7 linked regions of the Tribolium castaneum genome follow. The protein of the gene in region 6 binds, or shares a complex with, the protein of the main gene of each other region. Links are inferred from orthologs where the notes say so. Each region holds a gene or a part of one and is shown on either strand. Other genes may lie near its edges.

Region 1 (4,186 bases), about 30 Mb from region 6:
ATGCAAAAAATTATAGACAGTTCTCTCAACAACTGGAAAAACAGTTAATTAACCGACATGCAATGTCCATCACCTGATCGGTAATTTATTTAAAACGGTTCAAAACAAAGAACAATGCAACAACAAAAAACCGACCTCATCCCAAACATTTAAAACGCAACTTATTAAACCAAACATTAATTCATTCTGTGACGGAAATTAATTAAATTTGTTGTGTGGGTGTAAAAAATCAATATCAATTAACTCCGATTTATAATTAGTACAAAATGTCTCGTCCCATCTTATTGTTTTTTTTTTCTTTCACGAAAATTGCATCTGAAACCTTTCACATAAAGCTTTATAGATTTTCCCCTTTTCAGTAGCAATAACACTGACGTTTATTTCTACAGTCCCGACAAACTTTACGATTTTCGTTTTTCTTCTGCAATGTGCACTTAGCTCTCGTGCAATTTTACATCCCCAATTCCCACCGTACGAACTTTATGCACCTGCTGTAAATTTTCATCCCTTTTACACAGCTCCCACCAGTCTGTTTCTTTCATTTTTAATAAGTCTGGCGAGGGGCAATTCCGCTAATGGTAAGACTGTTTGATATACAAAAATCGAAAATAATCAAATATTTTTTTTGCTCTGCATCAACATCTATTATTACTACGTATCGCTACGTAGAAACAATCATCTTATTTACGAAAAGTTATACATAATACAAAAAAAAAATTGTACCTAACTCGCAATTCATGCAGCACTCGCTAGGCTCGTGCCGTAAATCACCAATATCCCACCTAACATTTTGTGCAGTTAATAGTAGTTTATTTGAAGTCTCACAAAAAAGAAATTTCGAAAGATAACTTGTATTATAAAGAAGTTGTGTGCTACAAATATGTCCCCAGGTCAAAGTTTGTAATTTTATTATTTTCTAAATTAATCAATAAATGTTTCATTTAATAACTGTTGTCATAAGCAGGGGTGGCCAAAATTAAGTAATAGATCTAAATAATTTTAAAAAAACTTTAGGTACTTGTGACCCTTGAAGTCCCCACAAATTGTAGCAAATAACTGAGCATTTTTTCAGGGAAATAATCTAAACGTGGAATCGCGACTCACCTTCTTGGTTTAGCGGGGTAATGGTGGTGGTTGAAGTGGGAGCCAGTGCAAGAAAATTGGGGCACAGCAAGCCCCATCCAACGCTCTAAGGCCCCCTGCGTGCAGTCGGCGAGCACCTGCGTGAAAAAATTCAAAATAGCCACAATTTCGTGCCTTTCCAAGCGTTCCCAGCTAACGGTTTCGCACACAATGCTGTGGACGCTTGGGTGATCAAGGGGGCTCCAGGCCCGATTTGACATTTTGACAGTTGTCATCCAGCAAACAAAAGCCACCAACTGGGATACTTACAACGTGATTTTGTTGCCAAATTCGTACGATTATCACACTAGAACATTGTCAAAAGCGGTTAATTGCGAATTAACTGGTCCCGCAATAAAACAACGAAAAAAAAGCGTTTTTGTGTCGTTCACCGCGACGAATCGACCCGACACGTTATCACAATTTTTATCACTGCGAATTGGGCCTCAAACTCGAGAGAAATTCATCGTTTCATTTACTTCGCCTTATTTTACACACAATAAACAAAATTATTGTCAAATATGAGTGTGATATATTGACTGGAATTTGACACTGGCGCCACCTCAGATTTGCACGGAACTACAGAACTACCAGTAGAGGGAGCAGCGATCGCTCATTTTTTCTGTCAAAATTAACACATAACCTTACTTCATTTCCAAAAAAATAAATAGATAATGTGAAAAAAAGACACAATGGACAACATTTTTGCGAAACCTCCAGCCTCCACGAGTCAAATCATCAAAGCTGACCCCAACTACGAGTCCATGGACGAAGACGACGACTCCACTGTGGAGACAGTCAAAGTCGAGGAGACCCAGCTCACGTCTGAAATTCACATCAAAGACGAAGAAAATGTGTACCTGGAGTCGGATATAATAATGCCGGAAGCCCCTCAAAGTAGCAGCGCTCCGGCTAAGAAGAAAGAGGTGAAGACTAGGAAGGAGATGGAGGAGGAAGAGCGCGAGAAAATGCAGTAAGTTGGTGTAAAGTGGGGTTTACTGAGGGTTTGTTGTAAGGGTTCTAGTCTCGAATTTCACCGAGGATCAGCTGGATCGATATGAGATGTACAGGAGGTCGGCGTTTCCCAAAGCTGCAATTAAAAGGCTGATGCAGACGATTACAGGGTGTTCTGTTTCCCAGAATGTGGTCATTGCTATGGCTGGGATTGCCAAGGTCTTTGTTGGAGAGGTTGTGGAGGAAGGTGAGGATAATTCAAAAAAATATTTTTTTTATTTTCTCTATTACACCAAAACTATTCGAAAATGTGGAATTATTTTGGTCTAAGCCTATGTAAAATGATCCGAGGAATCGATGGGCGCCGAGAAAATCTCCAAATTCCCAATAGTTTTTTAGTTATGATTTTTTTAAGTATTAACCAGACAGCTTTCCAATGAAATTACGTCTAATAGTTTAATTTTTTTTATTTTTGTGAAGATAAGTGCCTTGACCACTAAAATTATGGTAAATTTTAGTTGACAATTGAGACCATCAGCTCGAGATTGAAAATACATTCGGAAGCTCAAATAACGTGAAAATACGTATTAACAACTTTTTTCTACAGTTGCCACTGCTTAAAGCACTCTTTAAGCTGTAAATTTATTATTATTTTTTTGATTAATTCAAAAGAAGTCGATACGAAAAAGCTTACACACCTCTTTCCGGCAGTGGTGTCACTCTAAAAAATTAGTAAAACAGTCCAAAGACTTAGAAATGTCAAACTCTTTTTTTGTGTGCAAAAAAAATCAAACATGTAAGTATTTGTGTAATTAATTATTACGCTCGATAAGACTTTCTTTATGGAATAGTGGTCTAACGAACCATTGCACTGTGGACTATGTAAAAAGTAAAAAAAATAACTATGTAAAATTACAAAAAAGTTAATTCCCTATTTTTTTTAAAATGCCCTTTTGGTTTAGCGAAGAACAGGAAAAAAACATCAATTTGAAGAGTTATAAAAAATTGTCTTGGAGCCGTGCTTTGAAATTTTAGGTCGCAGTTAAACAAAAGTTCTAAGATTATAATTTTGAAAAAAATTTTTCTTTTCTGTGCCCTACTGTTACAATAAAAAACCGATAATAAATAATAAATTCAAGACAATTGGTCGCCTCTAACAATATTTTTAAATAGCAAACAGATATGAGTAAGGAAATGGCAGTAAAAAACAATAAATCATAAACTAGAAGATTTTTCTAAAAGCTTTTTTTGTTTTTGCCCATTTGCCTATTAAGTGCCAATTTTTAAGTTTTTTTAATTTTTGAGTTAAAAGTTGCAACGTCGTAAATTAAAAAAACAAACTTAAACAAACAATGTACAATATTTCTAAATGCCCTTCGTTTTCAGATCAATGATGAATCTATTTTTTTTGATAAAGTCTCAATTGACATATTTTTAAATACAGTACTACTAGAAAAATCATTCTTTGTCACTGTACAATCACATTTTTGCTCACTAATACTCATTTACGTAATTAAAAAATAACTAGGAGCATTGCCGATTTTATAACTCAAGTCGGAGGCAAAATCTATACGTTAAAGATATGAAAATGACATAATAATTATTCCCAATTGTTATCTATCTATCCTGTTACTTTTCACGTTTATTCTATTTAAAGTAATGAAGCCTTTTGCGTTACATTCTGTCAGTAAGGTTTCGTTATATCACGGAATTTATTCCGTTTTTTGCAATTTTCTTAAGATTTGAGTATTACTTAAGACTTGTATTAGGTAAATTTAATTAAACTTGCACAAATTCAGATTTTTATTCCTGTTTAATTTGATGCTTAACAATGTAAAATAAATAATAATTTAATTCGGATTAGTTTAATTTTTTATTACCAAAATTTCATTCACTTTCTGCAATGAAGTCTTACGACTTCTTATTAAATAAATGACACCCACTTTTGTTGTAATTAGTGAGTTTTAAACCACTTTGTTATTACTGTTACGAATAACTAACACAAAACTTACAATTGTTTTTTTAACGGATCCAAGACCACTTTTCAATTGTCGTTACGTGACATCAACTCTGAAATGTATTCTAATAACGAAAAAATGCACACAATTGT
Region 2 (4,154 bases), on a different chromosome or scaffold from region 6:
CGAAATTATTTTTGCCATCAACTGCGAATGGGTTCTGAGCGTGAGCAGGGATAAAGTGTTTTCGTACAATTGCACACAAACCGGCCGCAACATTGGGACTTACACGGCTGAGGCCTGGTGCACCTCTCTACAGTACTAATTTTTTGCGGAAAATTTTCGAGTCATGTCTTTAATTTTTGCAGATTTGATGCACAAACCAAACATGCGTTTGTTGGGGATTATTCTGGTCAAATAACTATGTTAAAATTGGATAATGCGGGCCCTAGTGTTATCACAACTTTGAAGGGGCACTCGGGCTCTGTTAGGTCACTGGCTTGGGACAGCGAGCGGCAGATGTTATTTAGTGGCTCCTACGACCAAACTGTTATCGTTTGGGACATAGGGGGGCAACAGGGCAACGCCTACGAGCTGCAAGGTCACCACAACAAGGTAAACATTGTTTATTACAACCGCAGTTGGATTTTTTCCGAAGCAAAGATAATTGTTTATTGGTTACGTAGGTCAAGGTTTGTTTTTTGTTGGCGATCGGCATTTGAAATTAAATTGGCAACAGTGCCAAAAATTACCAAAATTGTGGAAACAAGTGAATGTGATATTACAGGTCTCTGCTTTGTGCTACCTTAACTCGACCAAACAATTGGTCAGCGCGGGCGAGGACGGGGTGCTGGTCTTCTGGGACATGAACCAAACGCGTCAGGAGACTCCCGAGTGGATCGAGTCCGATTTATGTCAGTTGTGTGGAAGACCGTTCTTTTGGAACTTCCGAGCCATGATGGACCAGCGACAGTTGGGTTTACGGCAACACCACTGCAGACATTGCGGGAAAGCAGTTTGCGAGAAATGTTCCACAGGTAGATTAACAATTCCAGCGATGGGTTTCGAGTTCGCAGTGCGTGTCTGTGACCCTTGTCACCACTTGTTAAGGGATAGAGAGTGAGTTGCAAGTGGTGAAGTTATGTCTTGCTAAAGTTTTTTACAGGAGGGTGTCTTTAGCCACATTCCATGATGCTAAGCATAGTATTACAGCGATGGGATTGGACGAGACTCGCAAAAAATTGGTAACAGTCGGACAGGACCGGCTAATCAAAATTTGGGACATTTCCGCTTTGCTTTGAATCCGACTGGTTTAGTTACTAACGCTGGAATGTGATTCACACTCAATTAATTAATGTGCTATGATTTATTACATTATGTAAAATTTAAATATTATTAATGTTATATTTATATTCTATAAGTTCTATTGAAAATAAATCTATTATAATCACAGAATTGCGCCTCATTTGTGCTATTTTTGAACCCAAGTGTGCGAACAAGTGACATGATTCCATGAACGGATGGTAATCTGTGGTGACGTCAAATTTACAGGAACCTGCTTTCGGTCCGATTGTTGTCAGTTTTTTTCGAACAAACAATTGTTCGTTGTGATTTTTTCTCCCCCACACGATTAAATCAATTAAGTGCACTCTTCTTCATGATCCTTTAATACTTTGGTTCTTTAATGTTGTTGTTATGCGGCATGTGTTGGTGTTTTCGTCGTGCGTGCCACTCGAGTTGGCACCACTGGTAAACAAAACAAGCGCATATGCCAATTTTTGGCCCCCTTTTTGCCTTGAAAAATGTCCAAAAACGCTGAAAATGACTTATACGGAACGAATTTATCCGTCGAATCTATGAAGGTAATAGCCGAAAGCATCGGAATTGGAAATTTGCCCGACGACGCTGCAAAGGAACTAGCTGAAGACATCTCATTTAAACTGAAACACATCATTCAAGACGCTGCGAAGTTCGTCCACCATGCCAAACGAACAAAACTGATGCAGAGCGACATTGACGCAGCCCTCAAAGCCAAAAACTTGGAGGTATGTGGGCTTTTTGGTTATTTAACCTCATTGTGTCTTACAGCCCCAGTACGGTTTCCAATCGGCCGAAGGCCTCCCGTTCCGTTTTGCATCAGGCGGCGGACGTGAGCTTCATTTTATTGAGGAGAAGGAGGTGGTTTTGAACGATTTGTTGCAAAATTTGAACGCCAAAGCACCACTTGAGGTGTCTTTGAGGTCCCATTGGTTGTGCATCGATGGGGTGCAGCCCACAATACCCGAAAATCCGCCACCGGTGGCCAAAAACATACAAAAAGTAAAGTTTGCGTTGTTATCGCCACTGGTTCGTTTTTATTGGTTTGGGTTGTAGTTGGAGTCGGTTGATCCTATTAATAAAAAACCAAACAAGGAAACATCAGGGAAACCCACAACTGGAAAACAGAAATTACGAAATGTGGAAACTGTGCAAATTAAACAATTGGCCACGCATGAATTATCAGTGGAGCAACAGTTGTATTATAAGGAAATTACCGAGGCTTGTGTGGGGTCAGATGAGGCACGGAGGGCCGAGGCTTTACAAAGTCTAGCCTCCGATCCAGGGCTTCACGAAATGTTGCCCCGCATGTGCACTTTTATCATAGAGGGGGTCAGGGTGAACGTTGTACAAAATAATTTAGCGCTTCTTATTTATCTAATGAGGATGGTTAAGGCTCTCTTAGACAACCAATCGTTGTACCTCGAAAAATATGTAAGTATAGTATGGACCAAGAAAACATTTTTTCGCTCATTTTACAAAATTATGTTTTGCTTGATTTTTAAAAGTTCGTATAAGTAGCTATAATTTGTTGTTTAATTACAGTTACACGAATTAATTCCGTCGGTAACAACCTGTATTGTCTCGAAACAACTGTGCATGCGCCCCGAGCTGGACAACCATTGGGCGCTTCGCGACTTCGCCTCACGTCTCATGTCCCAAATTTGTAAAAACTTCAACACTAGCACGAACAACATCCAGACCAGAATTACCCGAATGTTTACAAATGCGCTCCAACAGGGCGATAAAGTCCCACTTTCGTCCCTTTACGGTGCCCTTGAGGGGCTTTCAGAGCTAGGGGCGGAAGTAATCAGAATTTTTATATTACCGCGATTAAAATCAATCGGAGCCCGAATTGAAATGCACCTTCAAGGACCAACTACTTCCAATATTGATAAAATCGCCTCGGAACATATTAAGCAATTGCTAATTAAAGTTGTGGCTCCCGTATTGAAAAATTTGAAAAATCCACCTGATTATGTAGAGGAGTATAAGCAAGAGTTTGGGTATTTGGGGCCCGCGTTACACGCAGCTGTGGTGAAAGCAAGGACACAACCGACGCCTTCGACAACAACGGCCTGCAATATTTCGACGTCGTTGACGAACGTGGGGGCCACTATTACGAGGACTGTGAGCCAGCCCTGCCAGATTATACAACAGGTAAGTGCATTAAAAAGTTTCAAAATGTGCTTCAAACGATTGACCTGAAATCCCAATAATTCCTGTAATTCCCACCTAATTTTTTTTTGTTTTCGTTGCTATAAGAAATTCAACGCAATATCTATTATCAATATTCTGATTCCAAATAGATTTGCACTAATTCTAAAAACAATTCCATAAATCCCAAAGGAAATTTTAATAATCCTTATTCGTCCAAGCGATTTTGATTAAGTTCCAAAAAAGTGTACACCCAGGACCAAAATAAGTGGCATCCCAATTCGTTCATACCCGTACGTACAAAACCGTAGAAAAAACGACGTCTAACCGCACCTTAACCTCTGGCATAAATCTTTTCGGTCATAAAATTAACAATTAACATAATTTGAATACTTCATTTAGCGATTCCACTATTAAAAATCGCTAAATATTTATTACAAATTTTTTTGAATTAATAAAATGTTTTACAAATTAGAAATGTTTTAGCTATTTTTTAGCCATTAAAGTAGGTTGTAGAGGTTTTACTGTATTATATTATTAAACATATTACTGTATATGTTTGCAATAAATATTTAGCAGTTTTTGGAAGCCGGTAAAAGAACTGTTCAAGAAATGTTATTTTTATGAACGAAAAAATTAAATTCCAATTCCAAGAAACCCACCAAAATTCCAGTAATTATAATTACTTGGGGTGTTTAATAAAATAAACGTGAAAGTGGATGTGCAGTTGGTTTTTTATTGCCGCAGAACACCGGCCCTCAGCGCACGATCGTAATGAACCAATCAGGGCGAGTCGCTAACCAGATAAACAACCAAAAAATCTTATTTGTGACACAACGTCCTCCAACCCCGGGAGGTTCCGTTCA
Region 3 (2,463 bases), on a different chromosome or scaffold from region 6:
TTTTTCTAAGTTTTCAGACCTGACCTGACTGTTGAGTTAACTTAGACTTTTTCTAAGTTTTTAGACCTGACCTGACCTGACTGTTGAGTTAACTTAGACTTTTTCTAAGTTTTCAGACCTGACTTGACCTGACTGTTGAATTAACATGGACTTTTTCTAACTCAGAGTTAACTCATTATTAAAATAACGGACTATAGAGGTTATAAAAAGTTATAAATAAATTCTAACTTACATTCTGTTTGAAATCAATAGGCTTTCCACGAGTTTTTTTGAAGTGAAATTTATTATGACTCATTTAAAAATGTTTTTTTTTTTAATATTCTTTTCTATGTTTTTTCTAATTGGTTTTGAAATATGAACTGTACATTATTTGTGCAGGTTTTTTAAAGCGTTCAGTTTTAATAAAACAACCTATACCGCACATATAATGTATTACTTAGCCAAATTTTTTCCTCTTAGGTCGTTCCTAATTGAGGAAAAATGCCGTTTCCTCTCAAACTTCACCCTTAAAACCGCCGAAGTGGAAATCCCCGGCGAATTTCTCCTCCCCAAACACAACCATTACTACGTTCGCATAACTCGTTTCATGCCTCGTGTTGACGTCGTCCAAAAACACAACGCCGCCGCCAGGCGTCTCTACATCCGTGGTCACAACGGAAAAATCTACCCTTATTTAGTTGTCAACGATTCGGGTCTAGTCGACGCACGTCGTGAAGAACGCGTCCTTCAACTTCTGCGCATGCTCAATCACTGTCTCGGCAAACAGAAAGAGACCGCACGACGTTTTCTCCACTTTACCGTACCGCGCGTTGTTGCCGTCTCGCAGCAAATCCGATTGGTCGAAGATAACCCCGCCTCCATCTCCCTATTGGACATTTTCAAAAAGGGGTGTGCCAAGCTAGGCATCGAGCACGACGATCCCATTCATTACTACTACGAACGCTTGGGTGGGGTGCAGAGTAGGGGAATCAAAGCGAGCCATCAATTGAGTAGGGATATTTTAAAAGGGGTGCAAACAAACATGGTACCAAGAACGTTGTTGAAACAATGGGCGGTCCAAACGTTCCCATCAGCCACCGATTATTGGCAGTTTCGGAAAATGTTCACATTGCAGTTGGCTTTGGCCTGCTTTGCCGAACATGTCTTGCACTTGACGAGACTTAATCCCGACATGATGTACTTGCATCAGGATTCGGGATTAATGAACGTGGCCTACTTTAAGTTTGATGTGGATGATGGGACGGGGGAGTTTGGGGCCACCAGATCGGTGCCCTTTCGGCTGACGCCGAATATTGTCGAGTATTTGTCGAGTATTGGGATTAGTGGGCCTTTGACAGCGTCCATGATTGCGACGGCGAGGTGTTTCGTTTATCCGAATTTTAAAGTAACGGCGATTTTGAAGCCGATTTTGAGAGATGAGATGGTTTTGTCGAGGATGAAGAAGCCGGAGGAAGTGGCAGGGAATAATACGGAGAAGTTGAGCGATAGCGAACAGATTATTAATATGGTCAATAAGGCAGTGACGTCGATCTCCAGTCGGTTGAACAGTTTGGCGCATTTTGACGGAGCTGATAGCAAGGTTAGTGGATACTTTTTTGTTAGTAGATTTTTTTTTCTAAATGAAATGAATTATATTGAAAAGACACGTAAAATAATATAATACTATTATAATAAAATTCCAATTTTTAGTCGTTATATACATATGTACGAAATTAATTGGTCTAAGCAGGACCTAAGTAACAGAAAAAAAAAATTTTGAGCGTAGGACACTTAGATATGATTGTGAGAATAACTATATTTTTCTAAAAATTTTTTTTAATAATGATGCTGGAAGTTTTTGGAAAATGCAGTTTTTACGAAATAAATTATATACAAAATAATTTGCGTGATCCAAGAGTGTATAATCGGTCTATAACTTTTTTGCTATTTGAAATATTGTCATTCTGTTTTTATTATTTGATAGATCTACTGAAATTCCACAAACTAAAAATATTTCTATTATGCCCAGGATGTATACAGAGTGATGAACCAAAGTTATATTTTTTTTAACGGAACACCCTATATATTTTTGCATAATTGGATTCTACGTAAAAAAATAATGTAACTTTATATAAACTATTATGGGTCTATCTTTTTTCGTTTCGGAATTATTCGACTTTTCGTTATAGAAAAGACCAATTTTTGAAAATTCACTGCAAAGTCGCTTATGAATATTTTCCGATAAATTTGCAACAGAAAAATTCAAAATACTTTGAAGTTTTAGGAAATTGTCGACTTTTACTTGAAACACGGAAATCATATACAGGGTGTGTCAAAACGCAAAAAGTTGAATAACTAATTTTTTTTAATGGAACACCATGTATTTCTTTAGACGTATCGATAGCATTTTTTATAAGCTTTCTATTGATATGCGGTTTATATTGCAAATTTACAATATTTTTTAAAGTGTTCCAAATATATTAA
Region 4 (3,579 bases), on a different chromosome or scaffold from region 6:
GCTCTGCAATGATTCCTCTATCGACTTTTCTCGATTTGTATGAGTTTTTAGCACGAATTGATGCTTCGTTGCCACAAACTTTGAAAAATTACTATTTTTTGGATAAGTTTCTCGAATTGTTTCGCGAGAAAATTGCCAAAGATTCAGGGGAAAAACCGGTGGAAGAGGAACTCGAAACGGATTTTATGAGCGAGATTGTGTCCGAAGTGACGGAAAAAAGTGAAAGGGAGACGAAAAAAGACGATGAGGGTTCGGTTGTTTCGTGTCCAAGTGTCACAAGTCAGGATCCGGACAACTACATGAAATTGTTGATGAAAATACGAGCCGAAGGCGAATTTGAAGAAAGCAACGAAGAAATAAAGGAAGAAACAGAAGAAAAGACGGAACCTGTTGATGAAGAAGTGAAAGAAGAAGAAGTTGAAGAACGTAAAGAATCGGTCGCTGTTTCCGAAAAAAAATTTCCGGAACAGTTGGCTGAAGACGAAAAAATTCCGCAATTTCCGGTTGAAGATGACCTTGTTTCGAAAAGTACGCGAATGTCATCAGCACCGAGTGAATCATTGAAGAAAGATGAAGAGGATTTGAAACAAGACACTTATCTTATGGAAGATTTGGCAAGACTTCGGGTAATTCACCGACTAGTCTACTAGGTTTTTCCCCGAAATAAATTCGGGTTTAGTCATTACAGGAAGCCATGATGGGTGAAAGTGACGACGAAGTTGAGAAATTCAAAGCTAGTATTTTAGCTGAAGCTGGTTTAACTCAATCACAAATTGATGCACCTGAACATTTTGAAACACGAATTGAGAGTGAAATTTTCACTAATGAGTCACTTAAAAGTTACGAAACGTCGACAAGTGAACCGTCCGTCAAGGAAAAAGCGCCAGAAGTAGAAAAAAAAAGTGGGAAATTTTTTTTTATAATTGTTTTAGATTGAGTATGAGGATGTGTTCGTGGATCCAGTTCCAGGAATCGGGCCGAAAGTCCCCGAAAATTTAATTTTGGCCGTTTGTAATTACATGAAAGATGTGGCCAAGTGGCAACATGACATGGTTATGCCGAGGAATATACGGCATTTTGATCGCCCGCCTTTAGAAATTCGAAATCAATAAAAATTTTGCACCGTTTTTTTTTTGATACATGGTACTGCCCAAATCTTAATCATATTTAATCACGTTTCAGTGCGTCCAGTAATCAATTAATAATTATTTGTGCCTCCAGGTGTATCTACTTGATTAGTAAATAAAGCCCTACGTTTCGGAAACACGTATTAAATTTTCCCCCTTTATGTTCGATTTAGTTTACAGTTTCCTGTAATTCAAGTGTCAATTTTTATGTATCGATTGTCAACAAACAACAAAATTGTGTGAAATTGGCTAAAATAACATTGATGATTAACATTTTGCATGTTCTTTGTGCCTAAAGCGTGATATGAACAACCCCAAACGCCACCTCATGTCAAAAAACGCCCCCCGAGGGGGCAAAGCGAAAGACGCCCCCTCGTCCTCCCGTCACGACTCCATCCCTCCTGACACCGAAAACTTCATAAACACCGTCCCTTTGATCCGTCAATGCGACAACACGAAGCTTTTGCCCCGTTTTTCATCCAGTAATCAACCCTAACCTAACGTTTTGCCCCTTTTGATTAATGAGCAAGTTTTTAGTTTTGGGGCGCACCGAAGACGATGGAGTGAACATGGACGACCTTGATCAACTTCAACTCGACCTTGAGAAGTTAATTTCGACGTGTGCTGTGCGTAACCGGTTTTTAAGGGGCGAAATCGAATCGATTGATCGAGTTGAGGAAAAAAGAGACAAAAAGGGCAAATCGTATGATAAAGGGGGGCTCAAACGGAAACGGCCCGATGATAAGGCCAAGTATCGTGATTTGAAAGGGGGCGCACGCCCCCTGAAACGTCATTATCCACTTCCGGTGGATGTGCCCTTGAGGCATGAAATGCCCAAAATTAATTTACCCAAGAATGATACTTCGGATAAGTTTTGGGCGACTGTGGAGCCCTATTGCGCCCCCGTTACGAATTCACACGCTACGGTTGATTGATTTTTTCAATTTTATAATTATGTATTAACAAAAAAAATTTTAGTTCCTCGATAAATTAATCGAGGAATGTTCGCAAGAAATTGATGTAAAAATACCCGATTTGGGCGAATATTACGCCAATGAGTGGTCAGATAATGCAACCGGAGTGGAACAAGAATTGGGGCTAACCTCTAAAACAGTTGGCCTTGATTTGAAAAAGAACGGTTTGAGTGCGTAAGTATTTTTTATCAAGTCATAAAGTTCAAAAAAATTTACAATCAATCAATAGAATGGTTGATTCATTTTCAAACCCGAAAACTCAACGCCTATTGGCCGCCTTGATTGAGGAGAAAGTGATGACGTCATTTCCGGGTGTTACTGGGAAACTCAAACGTAATAAAATCACATTTGTCGTAACTTCAAACTCATTTAATTCACTTTTAAAGCGTCCGATTTGAATATAATCAAGTCAGCTGGTGGTCCACGTGCTGCCATATGTATGGATCGCCGCCTTAAGAAAGATTTAGTCGAACAAGGATTATTAAGTGTTGAGGATTTATCTAAAACAATGCCCGACGATGAGATTTTACAAGAAATAAAAAAATGTCAACAAGAATTGACAGCTGTCAATGAGTATAATGTTGAGGAATTGAAACGTTTGAAAGCTATAGTTGTCAAAGATTTGAAACGGCAAGAAATCAAAGCAGCTCTGGATGTAGTAGATGGCGAAGTTTGTTGATTGGTGTTACCATGGTAACAAAATTAAAACACCTAAAATTTCAGGTTTTGGAAGTTTATAATAAGGTGTTAATGACCAAACAGAAGCAAATCCAGCAGGCCAAGGATGAAGATTTCGATAAAGCCGCCTTTACAAAAAGTTTGAAAGAATTTGAAGTGAAGACACATGTCTTGTTGGAAACGCAGTTTAAGTTTCAGAAAGCTTTGGCGGAATTGCAGGAATAAAAAAAACACCAGTTTTAAGTCTTACATTATTATTATTATTATTTTTGACACATTAATTTACAAATTAGTCTGGTATTTGGTGTTTAGAGTTGTTTTCTTTTTCCTCAATTGTCTAATTAACACTCCTAATTAAATAATTGAAAAACACCGATAAATCAATTTGTACTTGGGAGAGATATTCATCAAAAAATGCTTTTTTCGTTTCGTTTGGTTGGTAAAAAATCACTCTTTTGAATATTCAAATTGGCACCACTGGTGGTATATGAAACGAATGAGTCAATAGTGCCAACCTGACAATCACAATTGTGCGATGAGATGAACTTAACCTATAAAAAAAGTATATTGCGAACATGAATACTACCAACGGCTAAAATTGATTTTCCCTAAATATTTATATAAAAAACAAATCGTAATAAATATGACGCAACAGAACAACAACAAAAAAAATATATCGCTTAATCCTACAAAATTATCACATTTACATTCTATACAAATGATTATCATCATGGATTTTTTTGTCCTGAAATTTTGATTACTATTACATTGTGTCAACATACAAATTCAATACGCGATGT
Region 5 (3,120 bases), about 22 Mb from region 6:
TATATGTATTTTAACTATTTACGTAAACATTAATCTGCTTTTTAGTAATGTAATATCTATTCCGGTTTTTGTCTCTCAAAGTTAGTTGTTATTAATTTATTATTCATGCACTTCAATAACTTAATAGCTAATGTAATTTGGAGTTCCAGTGACAGATACAGATCTAATAATAATAATTAACAACTTGGTATTTTACATTTTTATAAACGTTATTTAAAAAAAATATTCAGTAAATTGCTTTATTGGCATTTTATTGAGTTGGAATGACAAGTATCTAATCTAGGTACAAAAAAATCAAAAAACATCTCATTGTTTTTTGTTGGTTTAAGATCATTGTTTGATGTATTATGTTTATTTGAATGTTTTTAAGATGTACAACTTATAATAAATAATTGATGCTGATTATATACAAGAGTTATTAATATTATACAAGACGATAAAAAGATTGTTTATGTACAAGTGGAAAAGTTTAGTTTAAGGGTGACGAAGTCACGAGTAAACTTATTCCATAAATTACAACAGCGCATTTGAATTTTCCGGAGTGAGAAATAAAGCACAAATTGAGAGTTTCGGTAAAGGAAAAGAATTCTGTGTTAAACTAAATCCCAGCGACACGTTTCGAGCTAAGAAAGCCAACCAGAAACTCCAAAAATTACAAATGCGCTGTTGCAAAATTCTATTATGAATTGAAATGAGATATAGAAAAAATGCATTTTCAAATAAATTAAATCAAACAAAACAAAGTTTTTCGGATTTTTATAGACGCCAATCCGAAACTTATTCAGAATCCGAAATCAAGTAACTAAAATTAATATTGAACAGAACACGCCACTTTCTAGCCCTCAGTGAAATAACAAAATTTTTAATTCCAAAATATTTAACGACTTGGCCATTATTTTGTAAAATCATACTGTTAGGTAAAAAGTTATTTACTGTCCCGCCAAATTCAATGTGGCCACTTACAAACAATTAAAGAAACACTGTCAGACAATAAATATTTCAAATATTTCAAGAAAAAACAGATAAATGATAAATAACCTACGCCACTGACTTAAAGTCTTAGCATGCAGCGCCACCAGTACTCCACTTCCCCCAACCAACAGATACACCCACGGCCGATAAATCAGAAAACCACTTAGCATACCTAACCTCCACAACTCACAAACATAACCTCAACCGTCAACAAATAAAAGTTTGTCATTTTTAGCAATTAAAATATGGTGTTGTTACATTTACATTAAGTTTAAAATTCGTGTCAAATCCACTTTTGTATTAATTTAAGCCCCAATTATTGAAAAAAAAAAAATGTACAAAGGGGGCCACGAACCCGATTCACCTGCAGAACTCGAATGCCAGTTCATTTTACGTCTACCGGAAGAACCAGCCCGTGTCCTTCGCGAAGCCATCCGAAACAACAGCACCCTCAAAGACAGGGTGGCCATCAAAATAGAAAATGACATGCGACATGGTGAAGTCCGAATCGACCACTGGCTTTTACCAGCTAAAGTTATGGACCTTCCCACTATTATCGAGTCCCTTAAAACTATTGATTCGAAAGGTTTCTACAAAACAGCCGATATTTGCCAAATGCTCATATGTAAGGAAGAGGACGACCAAACGACTACTGATGAAGAGTCCCCACAAAAGTCGAAACGTAAAGACCCCAACAAAGTGGAGAAAAAATATCTGATGCCACACGGGATCACACCACCGACGAAAAACGTAAGGAAGCGACGATTCCGCAAGACTTTGAAGAAGAAATACGTGGAAGCCCCCGAAATAGAGAAGGAAGTCAAAAGATTGTTAAGGATAGACAATGATGCAGTTAGTGTTAAATGGGAGGTTATCAACGAAGACGACGAAAACAAAGTCAACAAAGGCACCGTGGTGAAGAAGGAACCTGCAGAAGCCCCCAATCAGAACGTGGCCGAACATGATATTTTCGGGGGGGCTGTGAGTGACTCAGAGGAGGAGGACGCCCACCTTAACGTATTGGAACTGGACGACAATAGTCAGAACTCGGCCGAAGACAGCCACCTGACTGACTCCAACTCAATGATGATCAATACCGCAAACTCAAAATTGTTGACAGAATTCACCAGTGATATGTTCAACGAAATGCAAAATTCCCCCTCTTTGATGCAAGAAATGGACTATTATCAGCAGTCATCCAGCAATATTTCCTACACAGAGCAGAATTTGAGTAAGAGTAATATTTTGGCGAGGCTTGAAGAGCTGCAGTTGGAGTTGGATAATTTGAAAATGAGGAGGCAACACCAGGAAATGGAAATTGAAAATATTGAGAATTTGGCGCTGAGACAACGCTTTCAGAATATTTTGGATAGGCTTCTGCAGGAGCAAATCGAGAAGGAACAGGAGAAATACGGGTTGGAGGAGCTTCTGAAGCAGCACCCAGAGTAGTATTGGAGTGGTTAAAAAATCGTATTTTGTAATTTTAGGTCCAAAAAGGGGTTATAGTGAAGTGTTTCTTGTAAGCGTATCAATGTTAGATTAATTAAAAAATCTGTTTTATTCGATTTTAATTGTGTAAATTTCTATAGATAATTATTTTTTATGAATAGGGCACAATTTAGAAAATAAACAACTTTATCGGCAAAAACTATACTTATTTTTAGTTTGTATTAGTCTCCATCATCAAGTCTATTTCAGGGACACTCATTATATCCCATTTCAGTTCATAGTAGAATTGCAACAGCGCATTTGATTTTTTGGAGTGAAAATAAAGCACAAATTGAGAATTTCTGTATAAGAAAAAAAATTCTGAGTTAAACCAAATTCCAGCGCCACACTTTGAGCTAAGAAAACCTAGCAGAAGCTCTCAATTTATGCTCCATTTCACTCAAAAAATTGCAAATGCGTTGTTGCAAAATTCTACTACGATCTGAAATGAGATATACATTTTTTTATTGCAAATCATAAAGTAAAATAACACGTTTCCTTATTTACCAGTATATAACAAGAAAATAAGTAAATTATTTAATAAATCATACTAATGCTCATTGCATTTTTAATCTGAGTTCAGCCTCAATTATAAAGACTCGTAAAGAAAAACTATCAATATTTATTTCAAAATTATAAAAAAAAACGGCAATAGTGTAT
Region 6 (3,983 bases):
TCGAAACACGTACACGAAGCTGTACAACGAAAATGCCGAATCTCTTCTAGTTTTGTTGAGTAAATTTTATAGTTTATTTGAAGAATTGTTTTGTTTGATAACTGGTGTACACATTTGCTGGTCGTACTGTAAAATAAAAATACAACTAACTGTGGAACTCTTACTAACAAATTTCTCGTTTGTTACTAACGTTCGAGTCACGTGGCTCATTCTTTAGACTAGAATCTTTAGATTGTAGATTATGAAGCAAAATGTATTCCAGTAGTTGTTTAAAATGTATTGTTTGTGTTATTTTAGTTTTGTGCTTGTTATTGTGTAGTTGTTCGTTTTTATAGGGTTTGCCAATTTGGTAGTTTTCGACTTGTCTAAAAAAAATTCAATGTTTTAGCAATTAACATTACAAACATTTCACGGTTTGCAACCCGGCCAACAAGGTCATTTGCTTCTCAAGACTGAAAATGGACAGTATCAGCTGTTGAGGGTGGGACCACCCCCAGCCACTGCAAATCTCACAGCGACTTCGACTCCTGGAGGACAGCCAGTCACGTTGCGTATGCAAACGGTCGCTGCTGTAAGAATTACTTTTCCCGTGCATCACTTTGACAATAATTTTGGGGGATTTACAGGCGCCGACAAGTTCAGCAACTACCAGTCCAGCAGTAGCTGGTGGGACCACAACGGTCTCGAGTCAAGGTCAGACGGTACAGACTGTAACGACTGTTCAGGTTTGTAATCAATATTTTTGTTTTGTCATTTAATTTTTCATGTTTCTGTACAGAGACCGGCCAATGACAATACCAAAGAAAAGTGCCGTAAGTTCCTAGCAAACCTTCTAGAGTTATCAAGTAAAGAACCCAAGTCAGTTGAACGTAGCGTAAGGACACTTATTCAAGAGTTAATCGACATGAAAGTCGAACCAGAAGATTTTTGTGACAAACTGGAAAGATTGTTAAATGCATCGCCACAACCGTGCCTAATTGGGTTTCTAAAGGTGATTTCAAATTGTACTAAAATTGGTGGAAAAAGCTGTAATTGAAAGTCAATCTAGATTTTTATCACAGAATGTCAAATTTAATATAAAATCGATTGAGGAAATCCAGTTTTTGAATGTGTGATGAGGTTGATCTTTGCAATTTTTTTAAATAAAATGGGTACGTTTTTTAACGACAGAAAATATATTCCAGAAAAGCCTCCCTCTGCTACGTCACTCACTAGTAACGAAAGAACTGACGATAGATGGGATCCGTCCTCCGCCCGCCAATGTTGTTTTCTCAATAGCTAGCGGCTCTCCAACAGTGCAGACCCAAGTCCGACCGGGCATAGCTTCCAACCAAGTGCGAATAGTAGCCCCAGGTACTGCAGTTGTTAGACCAGGTCAGGTGCTCCAGCAACGGCTGGTAACCCCATTGCGGGGCGCCGCACAACAAACTCCCAGAATGATGACGACGATACGACAACCAAACGCAGCAGGAAATGTGATCGTTTCCAGTTCACAACCACCAGCCCTCCATCCTGTCTATCCCAGCAACCAGGTCAGAGCTGGTAGCAACATACGGCAACCCTTACAGGTAAATGACAACGTCAAACGCGCTCAAGTGTCATTCATTATTTGTTCCTGTAGAATAAATCCCCAATGACGTCGATGAAGCTCCAAGGAATCAAACCCGCAGTGCCTTCGATAGTTTCGCGACCTACCAGCAAAGAAAAGGAGAAAAAGTCATTCTCGGCGGCGTATACCGGCGATGACGATATCAACGATGTGGCCGCCATGGGAGGCGTTAATCTCGCTGAGGAAACCCAGAAAATTTTGGGGTCGACTGAATTCGTCGGCACTCAAATCAGATCCTGCAAAGAGGAAATCATGTGTTCAATGGGACCTTTACAACAGAAAATTAGACAGATTGTGATGAAGCACGGGCTTGACGAGCCGAGCGCTGATGTCGCAGCGTGTATTTCGCACGCGGCACAGGAAAGACTCAAAAATCTCATTGAAAAACTGGCCATCATCACCGGACACAGACTGGACATCGTCAAAAAGGACTTGCGATACGAAGTCACAAACGACGTCAAAGGTAAAGTTATGTTCATTCTGTTGAAAATAGCTGTTTTCAAACATAACTACGGAGACAATTTTCTGTACCCAAAAAAATGGTTACAAATTTAACTATAATTCCTACTCCAAGATAAAAAATAATAGGAACAACAGGTTATAATAATAGAAATTTCTTTGAACGTCTTTGAAGAGCTATAACACAACGAAGAGCACAAACTTTGTGGTCCTGGACTTAAGTTACCTCCAATTTTCTTCGAAAAATTTTGACTTGAGACTATAAATCTCAAGAATTGATGTAAAAATTTGTTTTCAGGTCAGCTGAAATTCTTGGAAGAGGTGGACAGGGCGGAGAGAAAAAGACACGAAGAGCTGGAGCGGGAGATGCTCCTGAGGGCGGCGAAAAGTCGGTCGAAAACGGAGGATCCTGAGCAAGCCAAGCTGAAAGCGAAGGCGAGGGAAATGCAGAGGGTGGAAATGGAGGAATTGAGGCAGAGGGAAGCAAATGCGACGGCTTTGCAGGCGATTGGACCGCGGAAAAAGCCGCGACTGGAGGGAGACGGGCAGTCGAGTTTATCACAAGTAAAACATTCGGTTTTGTTATTGTTCTATTTGTGATGTTTGTTTTTGAAGGGCAATGCCGGTGGATTCAACAGCGGACTGAGAGGACAGATGCCATTGAGACAGCGAATGAAGAAAGTGACGTTGAGGGACTTGCAGTTTCTGTTTGAAACTGAAAAAGACCTATGCAAAAGTAAACTTTTATACAAATCATATCTTAAGTGATGCTCGCCTCTCGTCAGTGTTGTGATATTCAGAGACGTCGTGGGTGCCCTAAATTTGTTTTTATTCTCATCTTCTGTTATTGTTATTTATTATGATTTTTCATTTTTAACCACTAAGGTCATGTAAACAATATTTTATCTTTTATCTAGCACATTTTTTTTATTTCTCATGAATAGCGTTATCCACTCCACTACTCTTGGTTAGCTTAAAGAACAAAATTGGTTTGCATTGTTTTCAGTATTGTTCAAAATTTCCAATGAAATGTTTTGTATCAAAACTTTCCAAACAGTTTTTATAATAAATGTCAAAAATACGTCTAGAGACTGCGCAATGCAAGCTTCATATTTTCCTACTTACAATTAGTCATGAAAAATTGTTTAACACATACTTTTTTGTTGTTAGTCTCAAATAACACGAAGTGAACAGATAAAGTATCGTAGGTTTTTCTACAGATATGTAAGGGTGTAAATATATTGTAGATTTTCTATAATGATGTGAGTTTTCTTTATAAGAAAATATTTTAAGAAGGTCATGTTAATAATTTGTAATTAGTTGTATAATTGTTTTTTAATCTAACTATGGATATAGATATATATATAATTTTTGTTATAGAAGTAATATTTAATATAATAAATTGATTATTTGATTCTAGTTTTGTTTATTGTAAATACGTGTGTGTTTACGCGTCATTTTTATAGCAATTATTTTGTAATAATAAATATCCATATCTATTTTTATTACTAAACATGTCTTCACTAGTAGTCACCAGGTTTTAGTTTGATTTTTGTATATACATAACGTTTGATTATTCTAATCCAAGTACATTTTCCATTTAATGGGTGCTCTGGATTTGTATATACAGTACTTAAGTTGTTTATGTTCAGTAGCTGATTGGCCTTATTATTGTCCCCTTTTAAAAAGTACAAATGCATTGTTTTGGGATTAAATAAATTGTTGTTTCATTTAAAATGAATGTTATCTTCTCTTATTAAAACCCTTTAGAACCAAAGTTGAAATAAAAATGAAAAAAATCAAGAGGGACTTATTAAAATAATATCATTTAAATCACGCATTGTTTCGTATGTAAGAGAATAAAAGATGTAGAACAACATACCATTTGCTGAAATGTGATCTTGGGCAATCCCAG
Region 7 (3,962 bases), on a different chromosome or scaffold from region 6:
ACGCTCACATTTATAATACTATAAATTTTTTATGGCTTTTTCGCCGCTGTCGATTATTTTCGACTGGATGCCTGACAGTTCGGGGCTATTTAACACCTTTGTTAATTCGCTTATCTTGCTAACTGTTGTTTACAAGTTCAAGTTCAGGCTGAATTTACGACATCTTGCATAATTTTCGCTTGTGACATTAACTTTGATAATTAGTTGGATTTTCTTGTCTTTTACCGCCTCAGGTATAACTTGATAAGAATCCAGAGTGGCCTTGGGCGGAATTCGGAAATCGAAAATACGCCTGTTTTGCAAAACTATTAATAAATATTATTGATTTAATAGTAATATCCTGTTTATAGAGAATTATTGTTTACGCCAGGAATCAGGATTCTGCTAAAGTGGCTTAATTACATTGTTAATTAAAATTCGATTGTTTTATTTGGATTGATTTAATGATAAAAAATATGATATTTATTGACGCAAACCGGAGACTGAATAGTAACGGCTGCAGGTAAAAGGTTATTGTTGCAATACCGTGACCTTGGGTAACGACTTTTACAGAAATTTAAATATTACAAAAATAAGTAACTCCGTTCCACCTTTAGACGCGTTAAATATTCGGTGATAACTAGACAGGTGTACTCACTGTTAAAAACCAAAAGTTTTCTCGTGGATCCCAGCCGTTTGATTGGTGATTTCAATTCTTGCTCATTTTCATCCATCCTTACAAAATAAGTAGCCGGTATATAAGAAACAAACTGGCGAATTCTAAAACCGTCTTCACACAAAAATAACTACTTTCACGTCCAAACGCAAGTTATGTTTTGTTGCTAACTCGGAAAAACATTTAATGAGAAGTGGTCATTTGAGACAATGTTGCCATTTCAAATCGGTGTGCACTAATTCGAATACGTTAATTCGTTACTGAGTGTTGTTGCGAACGCTACCACGAACAAAACGATTTGTACACTGTCTATTTGAACATAACATGCTACTCTCTACTCAAAATAGAATGCCGCTGTCGCTTGTAAACACACCAGCGACCAGCGCCATCTTTGGACCCGCCTCTACACTGCCCACTTGTAATGCCCAAACCGCCCACAAACATGGACGCCAGCGGTTAAGCGGTTAGTACCGTTTGCAACCCACTGTGCGCAACCAAATAAAAAATTATCGGTTCGGTTGGGTTAACAGATCGTCTCTCCTGCGTATTTATCGCTATTCTGAATATAGTTTGGCGTTTTTAAGCATTAAAAGCATGTCTGATGTCTGCCGTCTGTCAAGGTCACGGGTGTTGATACAAAATGGAAGTTTATTTGTATTAGGTGTTGGTGCACCCTTTTATAGAGCTTGTGTAGTCAAATAAATCGGCAAAATGTCTCGTAATTACACACGAGACCACCTTAAGATATCTGTAGCGAAAATTTTACAAACGCTAGGATGGAACTCGATAAATTCAACACCGTTGGAGATTTTAACCGACATTTTAGGGAATTACATGGGCCAGATTACCAGGAACACAAACAGCTACGCAAACGAATGTACGCAATTTGGAACTTAGGGGCAATGCTAATGTGTGGATTTCAGTTGGGTGCACCCAACCGAACTTGGACCACTTGGGTCTGACCTTTAGGGACATGGGGATCAGCGTCCCGGAGCTGGAGGAGTACGTGAGATATGTTAATTTTGCTGCGGCGCCAAGCGCTGTCCCCAAGTACCCCATACCCAAGGAAGACCATTTGAATTTTCTAAAACCAGGCAGCAAGGAGGTGGTCACCAGACCGGTCCACATACATGAACACCTACCCCCCATGAACCCACTTTTAGAAGGTATAACGCTTTTTTAATATTTGTACCTTAAATAATACATTTGCCATCGGAAATGTCTACAATTTAAGCTATTATACCAAAAAGATCATACCAGTCTACAAGAAAATGAGTGCTATAGACCAATAGATATTCAAATCACATTCACATTTTCTTTATTTTGAATAGCGTAGTTACAATAAATAATCGTATTTCTAGTCCTACCATTACAAATAAAGGTGTGCCACAGGGGTCTATTTTAGGGCCAATTCTTTTTTTATTATTATTTAGTATTATCAGAAATTTAAAACTTGTTTTTTTAGATAGACTATTTAATAATCTTTCAGAAGCAACAGCAAAAAATAGGGCGTTCCATTAACTTTTTCAAGTTATTCAACTTTTAACAAACTTATTAATTTCTCTACTTTTCTAATTGCAGTGCGCAAAACAATTGGTACAAATAAACATATAAACTTTTTCCTTTAAAGTGGTGAAATTCCTACTTCGCGTGTTTTTGTCAAAAAAATCAAATTATTTCAGCAAAATCGACCAGTACAAGTTTAGAACAAAATCATCAGTATTAAAAGCTACGTCCAAAAATGCAATAAAATTTAGGGTGTGCCATTTGAAAAAACATAACTTTAGTGTTTTTTTAATATTGGGACACCTGCATATACACCGGAATTTTTTTTTAAATGCAGCCATTTTAAAAAACAGTTAACGTCTCTAATAGTGAACAATTAATAATTATTATTATTATTATAGGTAATAGAAATGAATTAGAAGCGATCAATTGTAAAGTTGAGGAACTGGAAGACACCAACCCTGAAAATTCCCAAGTTTTTAAAAAACCGGCCGACATATCACCTTCAGAGTTCAAACGGCCTAGGTATTATCTATTTCCAAATTCACAATAAGGCTGTCTTAGTTTCCGCAGAGAAGAAGAAGGCAGTCGGCCGACAAGAGAAATAAGCAGTGTGATGATGACAACTTCTGGGTTTCTATCCCCAGCGCGAGAAGGCAAATTACCTGAATCCAGAACCCCAATTTCGTCCATAGACCCAATGGGTCCCGTAAACCCACCCCAGGAAACCATCGATCTGAATAAAAAACCGACGAAAGTCGTCAAAAAAGTTGAGAAAAAGAAATTCAAGCAGGAAGGAAACACGGACCCGGCTCTAGCGGGCAAAAACAGAATCAACTCAATGAAGTGTATACTGAAATCGAAGCAACAACAGAAAGCGCCCAACAAGGTCCTCAACCCCCTGGCACACGACATCTCCCAGCTGCAGAACAAAGCAAACCAAGCCGCTAAGATCAGCAAAACCTTGGCTGCAGCCCGGCTTAAAACGGAGAAACTCAACACTACGATCACCCCCATTCCCATGCGGCCCAACAGCCCCCAAGTCTTCCCACCTGAGCACGACAACGTCGACAAACTCTTCACGGAGCCCGACAAGAAAAAAGTCAACATATTTAAGAAAATATCAAACGTGAAGAACGAAAAAACCGACGTTAAAATAAAAAAAGACGATATTAAACAAGAATCGAGGGAAAGCTCCCCCGACTTGATAATCGACGAACCGGACGAAGTCCTCCCCAAATTCACCCACTTATCAAGCGACGTGACCATCGAACCCATCAATTCCTCGGCCCAGAAAAGCCCAGAAAAGATGGACACGCCCTACTTTGACGATGACTCCCAACCGGGGACTCCCTCAACCCCCAAAACCCCCGAAATGATCTCACACAGCCCGCCAATAGTCAAGGAAAAACGCAAGCGGAAAGACAGCAAGAAGATAAAGAGAGTAACGGAGCTTCGCAACAATTTGTATTCCCACTAAGGTTGTTTTTCAGATTCAGAAAAACCAAAGTCCGCATCGGCTAGACAACGATACGATGGACATGGACATGGAGCGGCCCAAAACACCGGAAGCCCAAGTGTTACCCAAAATGGAGTTTCCGCCAACTGTGCCCGTTCCCATCCCCAACCACGCGCCCCTGGCCCCCATCCCCTTCCCCTTCAACTTTGGAGGTAAATTCGCGTGTTACGATTCTATGATATTTTTTTTTTCGTTTCCGAAAATAGTGAACGGTTTTTTCTTTATCCTAGTTTTGCTTTTCAATTCTAGGTCCGGGATTGATACCAACGCCTTTGGCGAACC

Evidence for each region.
Region 1: Taf4 (region 6) and Taf11 share a complex: the UniProt entries of both Homo sapiens proteins name them as parts of the TFIID basal transcription factor complex. The link is inferred for Tribolium castaneum from reciprocal best matches to the Homo sapiens genes TAF4 and TAF11.
Region 2: Taf4 (region 6) and Taf6 share a complex: the UniProt entries of both Homo sapiens proteins name them as parts of the TFIID basal transcription factor complex. The link is inferred for Tribolium castaneum from reciprocal best matches to the Homo sapiens genes TAF4 and TAF6.
Region 3: Taf4 (region 6) and Nipped-A share a complex: the UniProt entries of both Homo sapiens proteins name them as parts of the TFTC-HAT complex. The link is inferred for Tribolium castaneum from reciprocal best matches to the Homo sapiens genes TAF4 and TRRAP.
Region 4: Taf4 (region 6) and Ada3 share a complex: the UniProt entries of both Homo sapiens proteins name them as parts of the TFTC-HAT complex. The link is inferred for Tribolium castaneum from reciprocal best matches to the Homo sapiens genes TAF4 and TADA3.
Region 5: Taf4 (region 6) and Taf7 share a complex: the UniProt entries of both Homo sapiens proteins name them as parts of the TFIID basal transcription factor complex. The link is inferred for Tribolium castaneum from reciprocal best matches to the Homo sapiens genes TAF4 and TAF7.
Region 7: Taf4 (region 6) and Taf3 share a complex: the UniProt entries of both Homo sapiens proteins name them as parts of the TFIID basal transcription factor complex. The link is inferred for Tribolium castaneum from reciprocal best matches to the Homo sapiens genes TAF4 and TAF3.

The regions. Positions count from the first base shown.
Region 1 is NC_087394.1:5,383,824-5,388,009, reverse strand, and holds the start of Taf11 (transcription initiation factor TFIID subunit 11), read left to right. Parts: upstream 1-1,386; 5' UTR 1,387-1,814; coding exon 1,815-2,095; intron 2,096-2,138; coding exon 2,139-2,323; intron 2,324-4,186. UniProt on the Homo sapiens protein: The TFIID basal transcription factor complex plays a major role in the initiation of RNA polymerase II (Pol II)-dependent transcription.
Region 2 is NC_087398.1:814,707-818,860, forward strand, and holds the start of Taf6 (transcription initiation factor TFIID subunit 6), read left to right. Parts: upstream 1-1,354; 5' UTR 1,355-1,616; coding exon 1,617-1,859; intron 1,860-1,902; coding exon 1,903-2,133; intron 2,134-2,187; coding exon 2,188-2,565; intron 2,566-2,676; coding exon 2,677-3,291; intron 3,292-4,035; coding exon 4,036-4,154. Other genes in the region: Wdfy2 (WD repeat and FYVE domain-containing protein 2), read left to right, coding at 1-132, 183-429, 602-933, 980-1,115. UniProt on the Homo sapiens protein: The TFIID basal transcription factor complex plays a major role in the initiation of RNA polymerase II (Pol II)-dependent transcription.
Region 3 is NC_087401.1:16,675,661-16,678,123, reverse strand, and holds part of Nipped-A (transcription-associated protein 1), read left to right. Parts: intron 1-459; coding exon 460-1,579; intron 1,580-2,463. UniProt on the Homo sapiens protein: Adapter protein, which is found in various multiprotein chromatin complexes with histone acetyltransferase activity (HAT), which gives a specific tag for epigenetic transcription activation.
Region 4 is NC_087401.1:17,517,304-17,520,882, forward strand, and holds Ada3 (transcriptional adapter 3), read left to right. Parts: upstream 1-1,277; 5' UTR 1,278-1,431; coding exon 1,432-1,609; intron 1,610-1,664; coding exon 1,665-2,053; intron 2,054-2,105; coding exon 2,106-2,275; intron 2,276-2,330; coding exon 2,331-2,434; intron 2,435-2,487; coding exon 2,488-2,771; intron 2,772-2,824; coding exon 2,825-3,004; 3' UTR 3,005-3,079; downstream 3,080-3,579. Other genes in the region: uncharacterized protein LOC103313297, read left to right, coding at 1-626, 680-889, 933-1,112; uncharacterized protein LOC656520, read right to left, coding at 3,543-3,579. UniProt on the Homo sapiens protein: Functions as a component of the PCAF complex. The PCAF complex is capable of efficiently acetylating histones in a nucleosomal context. The PCAF complex could be considered as the human version of the yeast SAGA complex.
Region 5 is NC_087394.1:13,420,491-13,423,610, reverse strand, and holds Taf7 (transcription initiation factor TFIID subunit 7), read left to right. Parts: upstream 1-1,131; 5' UTR 1,132-1,305; coding exon 1,306-2,421; 3' UTR 2,422-2,620; downstream 2,621-3,120. UniProt on the Homo sapiens protein: The TFIID basal transcription factor complex plays a major role in the initiation of RNA polymerase II (Pol II)-dependent transcription.
Region 6 is NC_087394.1:35,635,859-35,639,841, reverse strand, and holds the end of Taf4 (transcription initiation factor TFIID subunit 4), read left to right. Parts: intron 1-388; coding exon 389-571; intron 572-626; coding exon 627-725; intron 726-778; coding exon 779-991; intron 992-1,184; coding exon 1,185-1,568; intron 1,569-1,621; coding exon 1,622-2,072; intron 2,073-2,366; coding exon 2,367-2,632; intron 2,633-2,683; coding exon 2,684-2,836; 3' UTR 2,837-3,483; downstream 3,484-3,983. UniProt on the Homo sapiens protein: The TFIID basal transcription factor complex plays a major role in the initiation of RNA polymerase II (Pol II)-dependent transcription.
Region 7 is NC_087403.1:4,012,974-4,016,935, forward strand, and holds the start of Taf3 (transcription initiation factor TFIID subunit 3), read left to right. Parts: upstream 1-1,162; 5' UTR 1,163-1,366; coding exon 1,367-1,532; intron 1,533-1,578; coding exon 1,579-1,821; intron 1,822-2,562; coding exon 2,563-2,686; intron 2,687-2,725; coding exon 2,726-3,605; intron 3,606-3,654; coding exon 3,655-3,832; intron 3,833-3,929; coding exon 3,930-3,962. Other genes in the region: SLIT-ROBO Rho GTPase-activating protein 1, read right to left, coding at 638-713. UniProt on the Homo sapiens protein: The TFIID basal transcription factor complex plays a major role in the initiation of RNA polymerase II (Pol II)-dependent transcription.